Arabidopsis thaliana: one gene and its partner. The protein of the gene in region 1 interacts with the protein of each later gene in a pairwise test. Each region holds a gene or a part of one and is shown on either strand. Other genes may lie near its edges. The genes, in order: IAA13 and ARF4.

What was found.
Region 2: the proteins of IAA13 (region 1) and ARF4 interact in a two-hybrid assay, tested with the Arabidopsis thaliana proteins (one large-scale study listed by BioGRID).

The regions. Positions count from the first base shown.
Region 1 is NC_003071.7:14,112,144-14,121,161, reverse strand, and holds IAA13 (auxin-induced protein 13), read left to right. Parts: upstream 1-5,192; 5' UTR 5,193-5,404; coding exon 5,405-5,625; intron 5,626-5,895; coding exon 5,896-6,306; intron 6,307-6,390; coding exon 6,391-6,452; intron 6,453-6,543; coding exon 6,544-6,593; 3' UTR 6,594-6,881; downstream 6,882-9,018. Other genes in the region: AT2G33320 (Calcium-dependent lipid-binding (CaLB domain) family protein), read left to right, coding at 1-1,636; AT2G33300 (Transcription elongation factor (TFIIS) family protein), read right to left, coding at 7,202-8,032. UniProt on the Arabidopsis thaliana protein: Aux/IAA proteins are short-lived transcriptional factors that function as repressors of early auxin response genes at low auxin concentrations.
Region 2 is NC_003076.8:24,305,656-24,317,465, reverse strand, and holds ARF4 (auxin response factor 4), read left to right. Parts: upstream 1-4,681; 5' UTR 4,682-5,278; coding exon 5,279-5,653; intron 5,654-5,795; coding exon 5,796-5,852; intron 5,853-6,114; coding exon 6,115-6,300; intron 6,301-6,398; coding exon 6,399-6,483; intron 6,484-6,566; coding exon 6,567-6,657; intron 6,658-6,780; coding exon 6,781-6,942; intron 6,943-7,039; coding exon 7,040-7,159; intron 7,160-7,241; coding exon 7,242-7,317; intron 7,318-7,416; coding exon 7,417-7,582; intron 7,583-7,683; coding exon 7,684-8,372; intron 8,373-8,466; coding exon 8,467-8,657; intron 8,658-8,739; coding exon 8,740-8,908; 3' UTR 8,909-9,211; downstream 9,212-11,810. Other genes in the region: AGL62 (AGAMOUS-like 62), read right to left, coding at 9,946-10,521, 10,814-11,137. UniProt on the Arabidopsis thaliana protein: Auxin response factors (ARFs) are transcriptional factors that bind specifically to the DNA sequence 5'-TGTCTC-3' found in the auxin-responsive promoter elements (AuxREs). Could act as transcriptional activator or repressor.

The DNA of each region.
Region 1 (9,018 bases):
GTTTGTCTTCCGAGTTAGCGAGGATTTCCTCTACGCCGATACTTCAGCCGTCGTGGTTGAAATCTACGCTTTACATTGGTTCCGTGATGTTCACGTTGGCACAGTCCGTGTCCTCATTAGCAACTTAATCCCTCCAAATCGCCGACCTGGATACCGAAGCAACGAGGAGTACCGTCGTACACCCCCTCCCGGAATGCGATTCGTCGCACTTCAAGTTCGCAGACCATCAGGTCGTCCTCAAGGAATATTAAACATCGGTGTGGGAATACTGGACGGATCAATGCGTAGCATGCCACTTTACACCAATATGGACTCTTCTGCAGTAGGTTACAGAGACTTGCTTGGAGAAGAAGATCCAAATCTGCAGAATTTGCATCTCAATAGCTTCAAAGGAAGCTCAAAGAATCCACAATCACCATCTTCTAAACAATACCAATCCGTAGTCTCGAGACCGCCAATGCTCCGTCGTACAAGGAGCGATACAAGTTCAATGGTCGTTTCCGATCTTCTAAGCAGAGTTGAGCGAAGTCGTGTAGCTAATAGGAAGCCAGCGAGCGCGTTGATGAGCGCAGAATCGGAAACTGTACCTACAACGACGGGACACGATTCAGTGACTTCAGATTCCGAGCTGACGAAATCGATAGAGTATGCACTTCCTTATCAATCCCCAAAGATTCCAAGTCAGGGATACGATTCATACGAGCCTGATTTCATAGATCAATCACCAAATCACAATGTGTTGCGGCCGAGAAGTGAGAGACAACACGAACCTGATTTCATAGATCAATCACCTTTTCGATCAAACGATCGTTCACGCAAAACTCCGAGAAGATCAACACCAATGATCGAGAAACCAAGACCGCCGAGAGACTATGACCGTACAAGCAGCCGCGCTTCACCATATTTGTCAAGACACGGAACGCCGTTGAGATCAAACATCGTCGCGTCTACTCCGATCAGATCTAACATGGTTTCATCAAGTCCAATGAGATCCACCGGCGTCGGATCAACTCCGAGAAGATCTAACATCCTCGGATCGACTCCGTTACGATCCAACATCGTCGGATCAACTCCGATTAGATCTAACTACAAGGCTACACCGATGAAATCGCCTATGCAATTTGGTACTCCGATGAGATCTAATTTAGCAGGAAGACCGGTTTTAACAGAATCCGAATTAGGTCCGTCGCCATCAGAAGTAGCGCAGAAAATGGCGAAAGAGAGATCACAAGCTTACGAAACAGAGAGTTCGATTCTTAGTGAATGGAGCTTAGACGATGATAGTAACATCGAAGGTCTCCGATCGAAACTTGAGAGATGGAGAACAGAGCTTCCGCCGCTTTACGATCTGGGATCGAGTCATCAAAGCAGCGATGTAGGAAGCGGCGCGATGGTTGTTGCTAATGTAGGTGGAGGAAAAAGCTCGAGGAAGAAAACTCCGGCGGTGAAGAAGAAGCATAATCGCCGTCACACTGAAGGAGGAGGTAACGGACTTTTCTCGTGTTTTAGTAATTTGTGCGGCGTGGAATGCACATTCGTGTGTGGAGGCGGGTCGGATCAAGACGGGTCAAAAAAGAAAGGTGGGTCTGGGCGTTTGCCCCGCTTGGGCTCTGCTGATGATTTGAGTTATTTATGATTATTTTTAATTTTTAGGCTGACCAATATTCTTTTATTTTCTATATATTTGGTTTGTGAAAATGAGAAAATATTTGTGAATATTTTTAAACATTTCTCTTTTAAAATGTCATTGAGAAATATTGCATGCTATTTTCTTCTTATTACAATTGATATACAGTACACTAATACACATGAAACTATAAGGTAAGTTCAGATAGTTTGTAAAATGTAAAAATTTGCATAAAATATACTCTTGATATTTTGCTATCAAGCTATATGATTTTATATTTAAATTTTTGGCAAATGTGATCACGTGGACCGACGAAATAAAAGATCACTTTATGATGGATTCGGTTCAGAATTTTAAATCAATTAATTGTCGCTTATAGCTTAGTTTGACACAATAATTAAACTTAGCGAGATTAAAAATAGAGAAAAAGGAAATAAAGAGGCGCGAAAAAGGGGATTTGTGTCTTGCACTAAACGGGTAAACATCCGGGTGGTCCGCAAAGACCATTGAACAACGTGTCGTTTTAATATTAAGTACTTTTTGGTTTGATCCACCTTGTCGTTTTGTCCCCTTAAAACGACAGCCTTTTTCCTCCTTTCACAACCATTTTTTATTTACTTTCCAGTAATTTGTCACAGTATTTCTCCTCACATATTTGCTGACTGGTAAAATTTAGAACAGTGAAATGATTCTTCAGTTTTCAGTTTATTTTATTCAACTGTTGTCATTTCATCATTTTAGTGAAAAAAATAAAAATGAATTTTCATTCTACTGTTTTGCAAGTAATATGTTTTGTTTTTTCTTACAATTCTGATATACTATCTGACTGATGTAGACAATGTTTTGAGATAAGTTGATTTATATAAGAATGCAATAAATTTCCATTTTTAACAGTCGTATATCTAAATTTTTGTGTATAACTTCCTTAATTATGTCTTCGGATTTTTTTTAAAAAACTCGTTGATATATACTAACGGAAGCAATAAATTCTTTAATTGCTAAAGATTAATAAAGTTGTAACCTTTTTTTTGGGTCTTTTTCTTTAAAGATCGTTATGAAATGGGTATGGACCATGCTAGTATGCTACTAATTCAAAATAGTACATTGGCTATCTAAAGTTGGACTGTGTGAAATAGTTTATTCTACAATTTAAGACCTTTTTCAGGTAAGGAGAAATCACATATTAGAACTAAGATAATCTTAAATGTCTTCGAGTGATCATTTACTTTGTTATACAAAGACAATTTCCTTTTAATATCTACTGTAAAACATATTAATATATCGACAATATTGTTTAGTCTCAAAGTCTTTATGTTATGGTCCTAATAAAAACACTAATTTTTCTACATATTGATTTTAGTCTAGCATGTAGTATTTTTATCACTTTCTAAAAATCATGACTAGTCCTTAATCTTACTTTACAGAATACAATCCTCTTGCAAACTAATACTCTCATTATATATCTTTTCTTAGAATAGTTATATGTTACTGTTGGGATGTTTATAATATAAGATCAATCAAATCAAACAAATATGTATATTTATTTATATACATCTACAAGCGTGAAAATTCATTTGGAATGTCACATATGTTACAATTTTGGAACGTTTATACTTTATCAATATATATATATATTAATATATATTTACAAGCGTGAAGTCATCTCCATCATTTATCTTCAACCATTTGATTACAAGTTATGTATCATGAATCTGCTTTTGTCTTTTCCTTATGATTCCAAATGATATTAACCTTCAACTTGTTGCATGTTCACAAGAGACAAACACAATTCACGGTATATTTGATCAATTGTAATTCGTTACATACATAACTTTAATTCATTGAAATATACACGAACTAGATCAATTAAAAAATTCAGGACGTTGAAAAAGCTTTACAAAAGAAAAGAATGTATAACTTTTCCTTTACACGAATAGTAAATGAGAAAAACTCACATCTACAATTTTCGTTATCGTGTTAAATAGTATACAAATTTAAACCACTTTTTGAGCATTTAGACCTAAGTTTTATTTTCCGGAGATAAGCTGTTATTTTGCTCTGTTTACGTTTTCTTTTGCATCACTACTCTTATGCATATGTATATAAGTCCTCACTTTACTCATTAATAAATTTCTTATTTAAACTAAAAAATCATATACCGAAGTTACTATAAAACCTACGAATTCTCTCTAATTCATAAACATTTGTAAACAGCATTCATTAATACTATATGATAGATAATAAATAACTGTTCGTATAATCTACTTATTTTTCTTATTTCACCTTTACAGACAACCCCACAGCCCACTTGGGTATCGACTTTATAGTTAAAGCAATGTTCGTGCCTTTTGTCCTATAAAGGAACGACACAGGTAGCGCCTAAGAAAAAAATAAAAACTAACAAGTGAGTAAAAATGCAAAATAAGTAGAAGGGAAAAAGAAAAAACGAGTATAAAAATCACACGCAATTCTAGAACAAACGTAGATAACGTGAAAAACATAGAATCAACTATTTGATATTGACTAACTGTTAGTGTACTTGGAACTGTGAGAATAAGTCGCTTTGAAGTCTGAAGAGGTTCAGGTGTCCTGAGTTTCTAAATAAATAAAGAGAACAAACTTGTACTTGTTTTTTGGTTGTGAAATATTACTGTATCTTAATACTGTGAAATTTCAACATATTTCTTGAAACTAAGTTTGGTATTTCTAGCAAATCCATCAATAGAGTATGAAATTCAATGTTCTCATTTAGTCATGATTTTGATCAAAAGAGAATTTTCCACACATCAATTGCGATTGAAAAAGTTTTCAAAGGATCATCATAGCTCACATCAAGAAACATGATGATGAATAATCTCATCACCACTATTTATTTAATAATTCCTTATAATGAAAACCAATTTTGTTCTCACTTTATTTGGAACCCATCATAGTCTAGTCCTCCACGAAAAAAAGAAAAGAAAATAAATGAGCATATAGTGACCCAAAACTAAACCCAAATTCAACTTTTTTTCAAAACTGGTACTTAGCTATACGTTTTCACATATTTAACAGTTGTTACTATGAACATGATATAAAGCATAGCTAACCAGATAAGATCAAACGCAACGAATACAAAATAAACTCTAATATAGCAATCATCAAAACGAATACAAATTCTTGCAAAAATAGAAAAGAAAGTGTGATGCAAAAACAAAGCTTTCCACAAATACAAACACATAACACAAAAACAACAGTTTATATATTTAATATAGTTTAATAAGATATGTTTGTTTTGTTTATCATATTTTTTTATAAACACAGGAGAAAACAATAAGGTAAACGGGAGCACGACAAGTTTGATAATGTCGGGAAGAAAAGTTAAAAAGAATTTCTTTGTTAATAATAAAATTAGGGAATAAAAAAAGGGTAAAAGAGAAGAAGAAAGAATGGCATTGTTGTTGGTATGGCCACTACCAGACATATGGGTCCTACTCTTCTCATCACTCTCTCCACCACCTAATCCTCTCTCTCTTTCTTCTTCCTCAATTCTTGAAACTCTCTTTCAGATTTCAAGAAACCCTTAAAATCCTCTCTCTGTCTCTTTCTGTTTGTTTGTTTTCTTGTTTCCTTCTCTCTCTCTCTTTCTTTCTTTGTCTTCCTTTCCCAGGTTGTTTTTTTTTGCTCTCTCTGCCTTCTTGACTTTCAAAAGACTCTTTCTTTCTTTTGGATTGATTTTGGATTCTAGGGCTCTCTTTCTTTTAGTGGGTTTTTGTTGTTGTTGTTGTGGTCTCTCTGATGATTACTGAACTTGAGATGGGGAAAGGTGAGAGTGAGCTTGAGCTTGGTCTAGGGCTGAGTCTTGGCGGTGGAACGGCGGCCAAGATTGGTAAATCAGGTGGTGGTGGCGCGTGGGGAGAGCGTGGAAGGCTTTTGACGGCTAAGGATTTTCCTTCTGTTGGTTCTAAACGTGCTGCTGATTCTGCTTCTCATGCTGGTTCATCTCCTCCTCGTTCAAGGTTCGTCTTTTTCAAGCTTTTTGGTTTCAAAGAAAGATCTTTTAAGATGTTTAATTCCTTTTGTATGATGTGAAATTGCTATTCTCTGAACATAGTTCGTTTAGGAGTTTCTTAAAGATTCTTTAGTGTTTGGATGTATACTTGATCTGAGTTATGTCGGAAGAAATGCTCTGGTTTGGAATTAGGAATCTTGAATAGTTGAATCTGTTCTTGGTTTTGATTCATTTGGATAGATTACAAGTCCTGACTTGATGTTTGCTTTGTTTGTAGCAGTCAAGTTGTTGGATGGCCTCCTATAGGGTCACACAGGATGAACAGTTTGGTTAATAACCAAGCTACAAAGTCAGCAAGAGAAGAAGAAGAAGCTGGTAAGAAGAAAGTGAAAGATGATGAACCTAAAGATGTGACAAAGAAAGTGAATGGGAAAGTACAAGTTGGATTTATTAAGGTGAACATGGATGGAGTTGCTATAGGAAGAAAAGTGGATTTGAATGCTCATTCTTCTTACGAGAATTTGGCGCAAACATTGGAAGATATGTTCTTTCGCACTAATCCGGGTACTGTCGGGTTAACCAGTCAGTTCACTAAACCGTTGAGGCTTTTAGATGGATCGTCTGAGTTTGTACTTACTTATGAAGATAAGGAAGGAGATTGGATGCTTGTTGGTGATGTTCCATGGAGGTAATAGATCTAAAAACCTTGTTTATTTATCTCTTACACTTCCAATAAATGTTTCTGATGGTCTTTTTGTTGGAATTATCTTAGAATGTTCATCAACTCGGTGAAAAGGCTACGTGTGATGAAAACCTCTGAAGCTAATGGACTCGGTATGTAGATAATCTCATCTTGATTCCTGTTCTTGTTTCTCAAGATGACGCAATGAAAAATTTCTACTAAAACATGTTAATATATATGCAGCTGCACGAAATCAAGAACCAAACGAGAGACAGCGAAAGCAGCCGGTTTAGATCTCTTTTCGACGTTACGGTGTTACAGGTTTTATATTTTGGGGTTTTGCAAGTCTGAGATACTTCTGAAGCAAGCATAAGCTAGATTGATCTTATATCCAGTTTGTGTATTTTCTTGGTTCTTATAATGGTTTTTACTGGTTTTCTTTAGTTTTTTTTTTTGCTGTCTTTTAATTTTCGGTTGCGATTTCACTATATACTATGGATGGAAGAGAATGCTCTTTATATCTTTTACTACACTGTAAATATTTGAAGCTTATCTAATATCGTTTTTAAGGGTTTTTGTTGATGAGTCTACTCTAATGATCTTAGAACTATGCCAATATATCCACAAATAACTACTCAGATCAAATGGGGTTACGGAAACATAAGGCAAGAAAGCAAATAGATTACAAAACTCATAATGTATTTACAACTCAAAACGTTTCACACAGGTTAAACTTCTTATAATAGTGATTGTGAAAATCCTTAATACATACATATTCCTCTCACTGTTAGCTTTTGAGTAATGTAATTGAAGCAGTGACTACAATACTCTACTTTAAGCAAAAGAATAAGCAAGCAACCAACGTTTTCAAGTCATAAGCTTTTAAATTCCCTAGTGACATTTAGCCTTGAGTTTTACGGGACTCTCTGAGTTGTTGATCTCTGATACTCTGCCTCCAACATTGAAGAAGTTTTGAAACAGAATTGCATATTTTTCGGTTCTTGTGTTTTGTAAGATTCTCTAGCCTAACCATGAGCTTCCTTGTTTCCATAGCTCTTGCGCTGATGGGGAACTCCAAGAGCAAAGCGAGGGTATCTACGCACATTGATGTTTCTACTTCAGACGCGAGGATTCCCTTTGCGTTGGCAAAATCAGCAGATTTTTTGGCGATCTCGAACAGTTCCAACAAATCCTTGTCGTTCTTCTTCAAGACAGGACAACCTTTAGATGCGTTCACAGGTGGCCCATGTTCCCCGGATCTAGGGTTTTTAGAAAGTTTCATTGGTAAAGCTGATTTCTTCTTCACCTGAATAGTTCTCGCTGCAAAAGACTTGTAATCACCAGGCTTCTTCAAATTTTGTTTGGTCTTGCCGGTTTCATGATTAGCCGCCCTAGATCTCTGATCTTCTGTCTTGTTCAAGTTTGAGGATACTTGAACAACATCAGGCTTCTGTAGCGTTAGGCGAACCTTGTAGCAAGTACTATTATCCCTCACGCTCTTCATGGATACTTTTTCTGGAACATGATTCTGTTCATCAATTTGCTTAACTTCTCCGGTTTCATGAGCGTGCGAACTCTGATGTTCTCTCTTCTTCAACCCCGAACATACTTTAACAACATTATTTTTCTTCAGATTCAAGGTAAGAGCTTTGTTGTAAGTATAAGCGTCTTTTTCACTGGAAGAAAGAGTCTTCTTCATCGATGAGGAGTTGAACAAAACGTGAGATTCCATTCCTAATCTAACTAGGGTTTAACTCTATCAAATTTGGTTATCGAATTATGGAGATAGAGCGTAGAGAGTTTCAGGTATTATATAGATTGTAGAGAGTAGAGACCCAAACAAAAAAGGAAATTAAAGGAAGCTTTCTTCAGGCCCACGCAACGAAACAACGTCGGACTATACTAATTTCCTTTTTTCTTGTCGAGTACATCCAAGGGTAAATCTGTCAGACCAGATATTTCAACGTTAAAACAATCAGTGACCAATCAAGTAGTAAGTATTTTTAAAAATCCTCTCTTTTCGTTCTTTCTTAATCCGATCCTCTGTTTCGTAAGAAGAAACAGAGATTATAAAGAGCCACTAGATTAACCTAGATTAACCTAGATTAACGAAAAAACGGTTTGTTTCGGTTCCACGTAACAACGGTAACTTGGTAAGAAGCAAAAGCTAACACGAAGTAAAACAAGAGCTGGTCTGTTTCAACATAAATTTACATAAACCAAAATTACTTTCACAAAAAATATAGTAAAAACCCCTCAGTTTTTACAAAAGAGAAACACATTTACTTCACTTAAACAATTAAACAAAGAGAGATTGTTGTTTTCCTTATTTATTCACTACTGAGTAAACACTGATCAATTTGCAGAATAAAAGGCAAACATTTTAAGATTAAGGAATAAACAACTTCAAAAGCTTTTTATACCAAGAAATTACAGAATGTTTTGTTGATTTGCTATTACATTGTTTTTTTTTTATATATCAGCTTAAGCTCTAACATAAGGGGGAGAGAGAAACATACAAAAATTTCAGTACATTAATAACAGAACAAAAGTACAAACACATTTGACAAAGAGAAGTTTTTACCCCCAAAAAATGGATGCAGAACACTCACCGACCATGCCTCCCATTCTTGCTTCACAGAAAGGTTGGAAGACATAACAACAAACGAGCAGAGAAAGGCTTTGATCAAAATTTTCTCCATCTGCATCATTGCTGTA
Region 2 (11,810 bases), on another chromosome or scaffold:
CGTTGAATAAAATACGTCACCTTTGAAACAGAGTAGCACATGTTTGATCTATCTTGCCCAAAGTAGTCGTTTACTAAGTTGATGATCTCTTCTCTCACACATGCAGAATCCCAAATTGGCCTAGCTACTAGCTAGGAAGCGTCTTGTTATTTAAAGCATTCATCTTTGTGAAGATTCCAAACTGATATATTTTTCAAGTTGGTGTGAATCTTCTTCAGCGGAATGTTAGTAGAGCCATGTTTGTTGTCTTTGTCAATTGGAACTTCTTTGGTTCAAGAAACTCGACGGCATTCATCACACGGACTGATCTCATTGCTGTCGACTCTGATAGACACAGATTGAAGTGAATCCGGTGGAAGATGATGGCCCATTAGAGATTCGGATCATAGTTATGATAAGTCCTAAGCCCCAATACTGATAGAACGGAAATAGAAGGCCCATTAAAGATCCGGGTCATAATAATTATGATCACACCTAAGACCCAACACTTATAGAAAGGAAATCGCAGGCCCATTAGAGAGTCGGTTCACTCCCAACTCCCAAGCCCCAACATTATGATAACTAAAATCATGCCATAATTCGATATCAACCAATATTATGTAACAACAATAGACCCTAGTAACAATTGTAATTGTAACATGATGACACCAACTCTGTTCAACTCTAAATCAACATAGAATTTGGTTTCTGATCTTTATAATTGTGTTGGCAAAATAACATCATCGAGGACTGATATCTAACGATGATGAGATTACTTATTATTGTGAATGGTTTACAACGAGGATCGAGGATTATAGAGTTTAGTTTGACAAGCTTCAATTTTCACTCTAATCGTTTTGGTCTGTTTTTTTTTTTAATAAACTTTAAACCAAAAAAAAAGAGTTGAAAAAGTTAAAATAGGGGCCCAACTTTTAATGTAGGCTCCAATTTGACAAATTGCTTTCTCCTTATGGGATACCATTTGTCTCTACAATTCTTTTTTTTGATGGGCCTACTTTTCTTATCACAAGTTTGATTTATGAATTCTACTCAACCTGTTTTTAATTTTCTTGGCTATGTAGTTCTATTAAAATTTCTGAAAATGAACTTTTTAATTAGTTTCCCTTCATAAAACACAATTTCAAGAATACCGTGCATAGATTTTTATTGGATTTTTAAAATGACTGTAACTAATTCTCTCTGTGTGTGGTTATTCCGGAACCGCAATTAACTACAAACATGTTAAAAAAAAAGAAAGTAAAAATAGTATTACAAAAAAAAATGAGAGGGAGAGAGAGAGAGAGGAGTGTCTTTAATCGAATGATACAGACACTTGTGACTTTAATAAAGTCATTGGCGTTGCTTTGTCGTTTTCTCGCGACAATATTTTTGACACGACGTCTCCTAATTATCCACCTCTGTCTTTTTCCTTTTTTTTTTTTGCTCTGCCAAACAATAAACTTTTTTCTTCTATTTTTAATAAAACCATCTCTACTTAAATATCAATATTATAAAAAACAGTATGATTTCATTATATATTGATTCTTATTACAAATTACGCCAAATTTATATAGTATGTACATGCAGGAATCTCGTAAACTCAAAAAATACATATTAAAAATATAGTACAAAGAAAAATTGCCATATATTTGAAAAGAACAACAAATATCCATAGGCTAATTCAATCAACTTGGTCAAAAGAAATCAGGCAACAAATATGGCTATGGATATGTGCTATTCTTTCCACACATAAAAAAACATGAATATTTTGAAACCTCGGTACAAAAAAGAAAATATAATATTTTCAGAAATAAAACTCGATAAATTGAACGTTATGATCTCTACAATTTAGTAATTTACATGTATGCCGCATGAAACGAAACTGAAACAGAGAGAAGAAGAAAATCAGAACCGAGCGTGATGGCTTGTACCGTAAGAAAGGGAGGATAAGAGTTTTACCAAAAAAAAAAAAGGAGGATAAGAAAAAAAAATGGAGGCATGTAAAAGACGAGATAAATACAAATAGAGGATGAATATATGCTTAGGTTTTTTTTTATAAACACAAGCTTACTTTGAGTGGAGAGTCAAAGCATCCAAGTGGCTCATTTCTTCAAATGGATGCTTAATTACTTTCAGCAGGAGAAAGTCACAAACAAATTTAAGTGGAATCTTTATTTCTATAATTCTATTATTTTCAGAGCTATATTGCTTTATGTGTTGTATTTTGACAAATTTACGTGTATATAATTATATATATTGAGTTTTTGGTCCAAAACTAACTCACATCATAAAATTCAACCGTGGGACTTCTCACAATATAATCAAATTAGATGTCTTTTCTAAAATTGTACAAAATCGACTTTCTTAGTAAAATATTATTTTAGTTAGGAAATTAAGAAACATGAAAATGAGATACGATCCACTCTTTCTTTTTAGTACTAATTAAAAAAAGATAATCTTTGACTAAAAGTTATGATCAGCAGACAGAAGAATATGGTAATCATATCATTAAGAATAAGAGATTACACGTTTCGAATTATGGTGCAACATCAGAATAAACAAGATATATATTTCTAATCAGAAGTACTAAAGAAAAAAAGTGAGAATATTAAGCTAGTTTTAGAAGGAGTATGTTGCATGAAAAATGTAAGAAAAACAATAAAGAAGGTGGGGGCCAAAGAGGCAGCAAATATCAAGGGGGTCTTTGTTAGTTGTTGGGACTCAGTCACTAACTCACAACTTCTGAAGAAGAGACTCATTCTTTCTCCTTCTCCCATCCCATCATCCTTTTTGTTTTCTTCTTTTCTTATTCTTTTTTTTCTTCTCCAATGAAGTTACGAAAGGTTATTACTCATAATCAAATGTTTTTAAAAGTAGATAATTAAGTAAGTTGCGAAATTGTGAAAGGAATATACAAAACATAATATGATACTTTGATCAGGTTATATGAATTAGTAGCAAACTAATATTATATGAGCAAAAATACATGTTACTAGATTTTAACCCGCGGTACACCGCGGACACAGTTCATTTTTAAAAATTAATATATATAAAAATTTGTAAATTATTTTATAGTTTACCATTGTTACTAAGTAACGTCCTGCCAAACCCGTCCTGCCAAACCCGTCCACAAAAAAAAACTATTTATTTTATTAATGTTGATCTTATTTATAATATGTTTATGAATCATTGTCAAAATATTTTAGTCGTTGCGGGACGTTGTACCCACACATTTTTCGCCAATTGGTTAATATATGTTCATTCTTAAAATTTCGAATTACAAAATATGACGAAATTTTTTTTGAGATTTTTTTAAACTTTATATATTATATAATGATGTTAATTATTTTTGATAGATTAAACTTTTTATAAATTCAAATATTAATAATGTTTTATGAAGTTTAAATATACAAATAATAATATTTAAAAAATTAATATTTTTTGCCTTTTAGGTAAATGATATAATAACTCTAAAAGCAAAATTTAAAAGATTTAAATCTTTAAATAAATATTTTCATGCCTAAATAATTAATGTCAGTAGCATGACATTGTAAATAAGTTCAAATACATGATTTGTTTATTTAAACAAAAAATATTTAGTAAGAACAATATTTATTTAAACAAAAAATTTTGTTAATAAAATACGTTTATGCTAATTTTAAGGGATTGATGTGAAGTTTGTTTGGATTAAATTTGATTGATAATGTGATTGACAATTTAAATTAAAAATTTAAAGTAAAATTAATTATTTTGAAAAAAAGATTTAATGCTAATGGCATTGGGTTGTAAATAAGTTCAACTCTAAGATTTATTTGCTAAAATGACTGCAAAAATGTATATATAAATGTTTTCAAATTATGAAGCAATCATTTGGACCATCAAATATATTTTATTTATTTTTACTAAACCCATTTGAAGATATTTATCCAATAAGTAGTAAGTATTTGAGTAGTTTTATTTTACTGAAAGAGTCGGTGTGGTTATTGAAGTATAAATTTTATATTACAGACCGCTGAAAGTTTTTTTTAGTTGATTAGGTTTTTAAACACAGACAGTACTTTAGTTAATCAATAACAAAATGCTGATTTTCATATTGTTTGTCTCAGAAAAAGAGAGAAAAAGTGCTTTTGTTACAAAATCGAAAGGAGCCTACTCTTCTGTCTTTAGCCGGTTGGTTGGCTCTTAACAACGCAATGAAAAAGCATTTTTTCTAATAAATCGAAAACAAATAAAAATTCATAACATAAAAAAAGAAAGAACAAAGAAAGATTCCAAAGAGATACTGTTTCCTTTGTAAGAGTATGCAAAGAAAAAGCTAATCAATTTGCGGTTTTTATTCCTCACAACTCACACAAGTTAAAGAAAATTATGGTGTGAATGAGAAAAACAAAGGGTTACGTCAATTTCGTAATACCATAAATCCAATAGATGCATATAAACTTTGATGGTTCATTTTGAGTGAATAGTCTAGTATGAATAATTAAACGATTGATTCATCGATGGTTTGACGTATTTAAAAAACAGTTGATTTTGAAGAAAACAATCTAGACAATGGATTGAATTAGTCTTATTAGCACCTAATTAAACTTTTAACATTTCTTCTTTCAACAAAAAGGACGAAAATCAAAAACGGTAATAATTAGCAAAAAAGTGAAAACTTTTATTTTGTGTAAACGTGTGTATATTGACACAAATATAGTTTTTATATATAAAATTTCATGTGAATAAATAAGTCTTTATTGGGAAACAAAAACAAAAAAGAGAGAAGAAGAGGAAGAAGAAGAAGAAGGAGAAAGGGAGAGTGTAGGTGTGGGTTCTGTTCTGTCTTGGCTTTGTCTCCCCCGCTTATCTCTCCCTCTCTTTCTCTCTCTCTCTCTCTTTCCACTAAATTGTTTTTTTTTTGCTCTTTAAAAAGTATATTTTTTTCCAATCTGCAAATTTTAGTCTATGTCTGTTCCTTGTGCTCCCTCTTCTCAGTACCTGCAAATGGAGGAAGAAGAATCCTTCTCTGAAACCCTTGTTCTCATTTGATTCCTCCTTCCTCTCTCTTCTTCTCTCTCTGTCTCTGATTCGTTATTCCACACTTATGACTCATCTTTCCCGTCAATAGCTAAGTTTGCCTCTTCTTTGTGAAATTTAGCTGAAAAAGGAGAGGAATTCCGAATTCTGTCACTTCAAAGCTCGAATTTTGCAAACTTTCCTTTGATGGGTTTTACTTGTTTTGTTGTAATCTGATTAAAAATAGAAACTTTTTGTTTTCTTCTTGTCTCCTTTTGCTCTTAAAAGAGAAGCTTTTTCAATGGAATTTGACTTGAATACTGAGATTGCGGAGGTGGAAGAGGAGGAGAATGATGATGTAGGAGTAGGAGTAGGAGGAGGAACAAGAATTGACAAGGGTAGGCTTGGAATTTCACCATCTTCTTCTTCTTCATGCTCTTCCGGATCATCATCGTCATCATCTTCTACAGGCTCTGCATCTTCCATTTACTCTGAGCTTTGGCATGCTTGTGCTGGTCCTCTCACTTGTCTTCCCAAGAAAGGCAATGTAGTTGTCTATTTCCCTCAAGGTCATTTGGAGCAAGATGCTATGGTTTCATATTCGTCTCCTCTTGAAATCCCCAAATTTGACCTTAATCCCCAAATCGTCTGCAGGGTGGTTAATGTCCAGTTGCTTGTAAGTCTGTCTGTATCACTCTACCCAAATAAAGAACATTCCTTTTGTGTTCTATTTTACTATTCTTGAACAAGTTCTGTTTTCTTTCTCTAATTGTGGTAATTGTTTGCAAACTTGGTTCCTTCTTTTGGGGAAACAAAAGGCTAATAAGGACACCGATGAGGTCTACACTCAAGTCACTCTGCTTCCACTTCAAGAGGTACTCTCTTTTACTCAAACTTGTTGCTTTTTTGACAATTCAATTGATTTTTGATATCACTAGTGTAATTCCAGATTCTAGGTGTGATTTTAGATGCTACGGTTTAAAGAGATTGTGAATAATCTTGTTTGTTCTCTAAGTGACTCAAACTCATCATTGGTTTAACAGGATCAGAGGAATCACTGAAACCGTTGGTCTTGTTGAGTTTCATTTATAATCTCTGTGATGTTAAGATGCTGAAGTAACTTCTTGGTTTTTATAGTTTTCGATGCTAAATGGGGAGGGGAAAGAGGTCAAGGAGTTAGGAGGGGAGGAAGAGAGGAACGGAAGCTCATCCGTCAAGCGGACACCTCATATGTTCTGTAAAACCTTAACAGCGTCTGACACAAGCACACATGGAGGCTTCTCTGTACCTAGAAGAGCCGCTGAAGATTGTTTTGCTCCTCTTGTATAATTCTCTATATCTCATTTCCTTATTTTTTTTTTTAAGGAGAGGTTTTATCTTCTTGTTATAAGCCTTATTTGTGAATTTTCCACTGGTGTTAGGACTACAAACAACAGAGGCCATCTCAAGAGCTCATTGCAAAGGACCTCCATGGAGTAGAGTGGAAGTTTCGCCATATCTATAGAGGTGGTTTTGAGTTTGTTATTATTCGTTTCTTTTTTCTTCGTCAGTGAAACCAAAATGTTTAGTTCTGTCTCTTTTTAATATAGGTCAACCAAGGAGGCATCTACTCACCACTGGTTGGAGTATCTTTGTCAGTCAAAAGAATCTCGTCTCTGGTGATGCGGTTCTCTTTCTGAGGTAATCGTAAGATTTCAGTTTATCAAATGGTGATGTAGATTCATGGTGTTTCCCTCTGCTTTGGTGGTTTGAAGCCCTTGATCCAATAATGTTTACATTCATTACTAATATCGGCGTTTATAGAGACGAAGGAGGAGAGCTGAGATTAGGAATCAGAAGAGCAGCACGGCCAAGAAATGGACTTCCTGACTCAATCATTGAGAAGAATTCATGTTCAAACATTCTGTCTCTTGTGGCTAATGCTGTATCTACAAAAAGCATGTTTCATGTGTTCTACAGTCCACGGTGAGATAAAAATGAAAAGCTGCCATTCGTAATGATTCTTAACTAGGTTCAGTAAGAAATAAAGAACTATAATGTTGATTTGTGGATTTATATACAGAGCGACGCATGCAGAGTTTGTGATTCCTTATGAGAAGTATATCACAAGCATCAGGAGTCCTGTTTGCATAGGCACAAGATTTAGAATGCGATTTGAAATGGACGATTCTCCTGAGAGAAGGTATTGTTTCTTTCTTGCTTCTTTCTCTGTGTTGTGTAGCTAATATTGTTGGACGAGAATTTATATTCGATCTTTCTTGCAGATGCGCTGGTGTAGTGACTGGAGTCTGTGACTTGGACCCGTATAGGTGGCCAAACTCTAAATGGAGGTGCTTGTTGGTGCGTCCTCTCATCTTTTTGGAGTATCTGTCTATTAACGTGTAGAAGACTTTTCATTTTCGAAGATTGATATCTAAATCTTTCACATTTGTTTGGCAGGTGCGATGGGATGAGTCTTTTGTGAGTGATCATCAAGAAAGAGTTTCACCTTGGGAGATTGATCCCTCGGTTTCTCTCCCACACTTGAGCATTCAGTCATCTCCAAGGCCTAAAAGGCCATGGGCAGGTTTACTGGATACTACCCCACCCGGAAACCCCATAACAAGTAAATTATATAGACCTCTCTTCTCTTTGGAGTATATGCTTTTGCAAACAGTTCTCAATTTTCATCAGTATATTATTGATAACTGTTCTTGGTTGCAGCAGAAAGGGGTGGTTTTTTGGACTTTGAGGAGTCGGTTAGACCCTCTAAGGTCTTGCAAGGTCAAGAAAATATAGGTTCTGCATCACCCTCACAGGGGTTTGATGTTATGAACCGCCGGATACTGGATTTTGCGATGCAGTCTCATGCAAATCCAGTTCTTGTGTCGAGTAGAGTCAAGGATCGATTTGGTGAGTTTGTAGATGCTACTGGCGTGAACCCAGCTTGTTCAGGTGTTATGGACCTGGATAGGTTTCCAAGGGTCTTGCAAGGTCAAGAAATTTGCTCGCTTAAATCATTCCCGCAATTTGCTGGTTTCAGTCCAGCTGCTGCTCCTAATCCCTTTGCTTACCAAGCCAACAAGTCAAGTTACTATCCGCTAGCTTTGCATGGGATTAGGAGCACTCATGTTCCGTATCAGAATCCATACAATGCGGGAAACCAATCCTCGGGTCCCCCTTCACGTGCAATAAACTTTGGTGAAGAGACTAGAAAGTTTGATGCACAAAATGAAGGTGGCCTACCAAATAATGTTACAGCTGATTTGCCATTCAAGATTGATATGATGGGAAAACAGAAAGGCAGTGAGTTGAATATGAATGCTTCATCAGGATGTAAACTTTTCGGATTCTCCTTACCAGTGGAGACACCTGCATCTAAGCCGCAAAGCTCGAGCAAAAGAATCTGTACAAAGGTAAAACGTTTTCTTTATCATCTCTTTGGCTACTTTGAGTTGCAGTTTTAGATGTCTCTTCTAATCAGTTCTTGTGTTGAATTGTTATCAAAAGGTTCACAAGCAAGGAAGCCAAGTGGGGAGAGCTATTGATTTGTCGCGACTTAACGGGTATGATGATCTCCTTATGGAGCTTGAACGGCTGTTCAACATGGAAGGGCTTCTCAGGGATCCTGAAAAAGGATGGAGGATCTTATATACTGATAGTGAGAACGATATGATGGTCGTTGGCGATGATCCATGGCAGTAAGTTCTTTATACATACCTTCTAAAGGTCAATCACAACTTCTTTTCTCCTAACTTGAAATTGGCTTTCTGCTATGGATAGTGATTTCTGCAATGTGGTGTGGAAGATACACTTATACACGAAAGAGGAAGTGGAGAATGCGAATGACGATAACAAGAGTTGTTTAGAGCAAGCTGCTCTCATGATGGAAGCATCAAAGTCATCTTCTGTGAGCCAGCCTGATTCTTCTCCTACAATCACTAGGGTTTGATACCCATAAAGAAGCTTATTTCCTATGTTTTAAAGTGTGTTTTGCTCACAAAAGAACTTCAACTTTATCTTTGTCTTTGAATCCATTTATGTGTTTGTTTGTGTTTCTTCTGGTCTCCATGGATGTCTCATGTGTACCGTTTTACTCGAGAGATATGTGAGTTTATGGGATGTGTAAAGCATGCCATTGGATTTTAAGGTTTTCAAAATTACAATATATATATTAGTTTTGAAGTATTTTGCTTGATTTTGAAAATTTCATTTCTTAAGTTCTTACATATGTGGATACTCTTGTATTGTTCTTACAATTTTTTTATTTATTTTTAGATTGATATCTAATACATACTAGATATTTGATGATGATTTAATCTTTTTTAAGGAAAATAAATATTAGAGTATACTGCACGGATTAATTAAATAGAATGATGTGACATAGATTTAGCCTTTTTTTCAACTAAAAGTTAACCTTAATTTTATTATATTTTCCTTAAATTTAACATTAATTTTATTATATTTTCTATATTAGAATTAGATTTTTATCATTTTAGGAATATTTCACAATATCTGTATTTCATCATTATAAGGAATGAAATTAGAGGGAAAGCCATTGTAATGCTGTCATTTCATTTTTTACAATGTACCAAAATATGTGGGATAATGTATGTACTATTTTAGTTGAAAAATGGTGCACACAGAAATTTTCATTATGCTTTTTTGCAAATTTATTTTAAAATAGTACATGATTGATTATGATTATTACCTTTCTGTGTTTAAAATTCTGCAATTGCCCAAAATGCGTAAACGTAACCATGGCAGACTAGTATTTTCAGAGGCGTAATGCATTTGTTTCCGACACATATAATTTATATATAGCAATAACATAATTTTGAAATGAAACAACACAATACAACATAATACTTAAACAAGAACAAGAAAAACAACAACAACACATGTAGAAACATAAATAAGAAGAAATAAAGATAACCTAAACACACAACTTTTTGTCTAGAGACTTAAGTTGGATCACACAACAAAGGGTTAATAGTAATCAGATCTAGACTGGGGAGGATAACCATGATGATGTTCATATTCAGAGATGTTTTCTCTCTTAAAACTCTGGTTTTGGATTTGGATTTGAACTTGATTTTGGTTTTGGATTTGGTTTTGGTTTGGGTTATACTCTGGTCTGAAGTTCACATTGTATTCTGGAACAAACCCTTCATTAATACCATAAGCATTGTTTCCAAAGGGTGGTAATGCATGATTAGGGTGAATTTGGTTCTGGTTGTAGTTGAAGGCATTTATGTCCATCATTCTTCTTTGGCTAAAGAGATCCATATCAGGGTTGATATGACTACCATCATCAATCCCAAAAGCAGCATTATTACTAGAACTTCCCACATAGAAGTTTGGAACATTTGCCTGAAAAAATCTGGAAGCTTCGACTGTAACTACTTTCTTCAAATTTTCAAGATTACCTTTGAACCCCTCGAGTTGAGATAACGCAAGTTCCTCAACGGGATCTTCCCACCAATTCCCAAGGGCTTTTGTCTTTTCTCTTATTTTCTTTAACTCGTCGTACTTCTTTTTCTCTGTTTCTAATTGACTCAACACCTGCAAATATATATACAAATAAAAACACCAATAATATTATTAATTTTCATACCATATGATTCTATAACATTTCATCGGCATTTTTATCTAACATACTATTAGGATATAAATCTATTCTAGTTATGGAGAAAAAGACTGTCTAATGTTTTTTATATATTATTTATTCACCTGCGAAAACTTTTACTTATATATATTAAATAAAAAAAGAATTTAACCATAGAAATTTGGGTTTTATGATTCATAGAAAACACTATTTTGTTTTAATCATACTTAAAAATAAGAGTAAGATTACCTGAGTAAGATGATTATTCAGATCCTGAACAATCGAATTTCGACGAGTTTCTCTAAGTTGCATGTTGTTGTGTTGGTGAGGAGGTAGAGGGTTATTGTTTATGAATCGATCAATTACAGAATCAACATTTGGATGACCAAAAGAAAAGACTTTTCGACCAGGTGAGAACACAACTATGGCCACTTCTGCACCACAAAGTGTGCAAAGCTCACTAGCCTTTTTGAAAAGTCCAGATCTTCTTTTTGAAAAAGTAACTTGAAGGTTACTTTCATTTTTCATTTTGACCATCTCTATTTTTTGACGACCTTTGCTTTTTTTCACCATTTTTAGTGATATTTGAGAAGCTAAAATATAGGATTGGTGTTTGTAGAATGAAAATGCTCATGTATTTATAGCAGAATATTACAAACCAAATAATTAATATTTGAGTTGTCTATGAGTAAATTTCAACTTTGATTTATTATATTTTTATTTGAATTTGAATTTTACTATTTTTGTAACATTTCATAATCTTAATATTCAATCAATATATGGTATGCAATACAAATTTATTTGACTATTATCTTCTCATTTCATTTGTACAATGTATCCAAATCTGCCAGAAAGATCCACCTTTAATTAGTAGTGATCTTTTCATATCTAATAGTAATATTATTGGAATATTTTTTTTAAATATAGCAACAAAAATGGCGGCGTAAAAAAAATTACTAACAAGTAACAAGCGTAATATGGTCAATATGTTTTTGATTTACTGATACATCATTTTCGTTAATTGTTTAATATTCTAAACTTAATCTCATATTTTAATATATTAAAAAATCGTTATATTGTTATCTGAAATTATTTGTCGCTATTTTCTAAAGTAAAACATGTATTCTCTCGTTTTTTTTTGTTAAAGGGTCTTCTTATGTATTCTCTCGTTATTGGTGATTGATCTATTATCGATAATGAAAACTATTTATGATAAAATGATTGTATGATTTTTTTAGCAATTGTT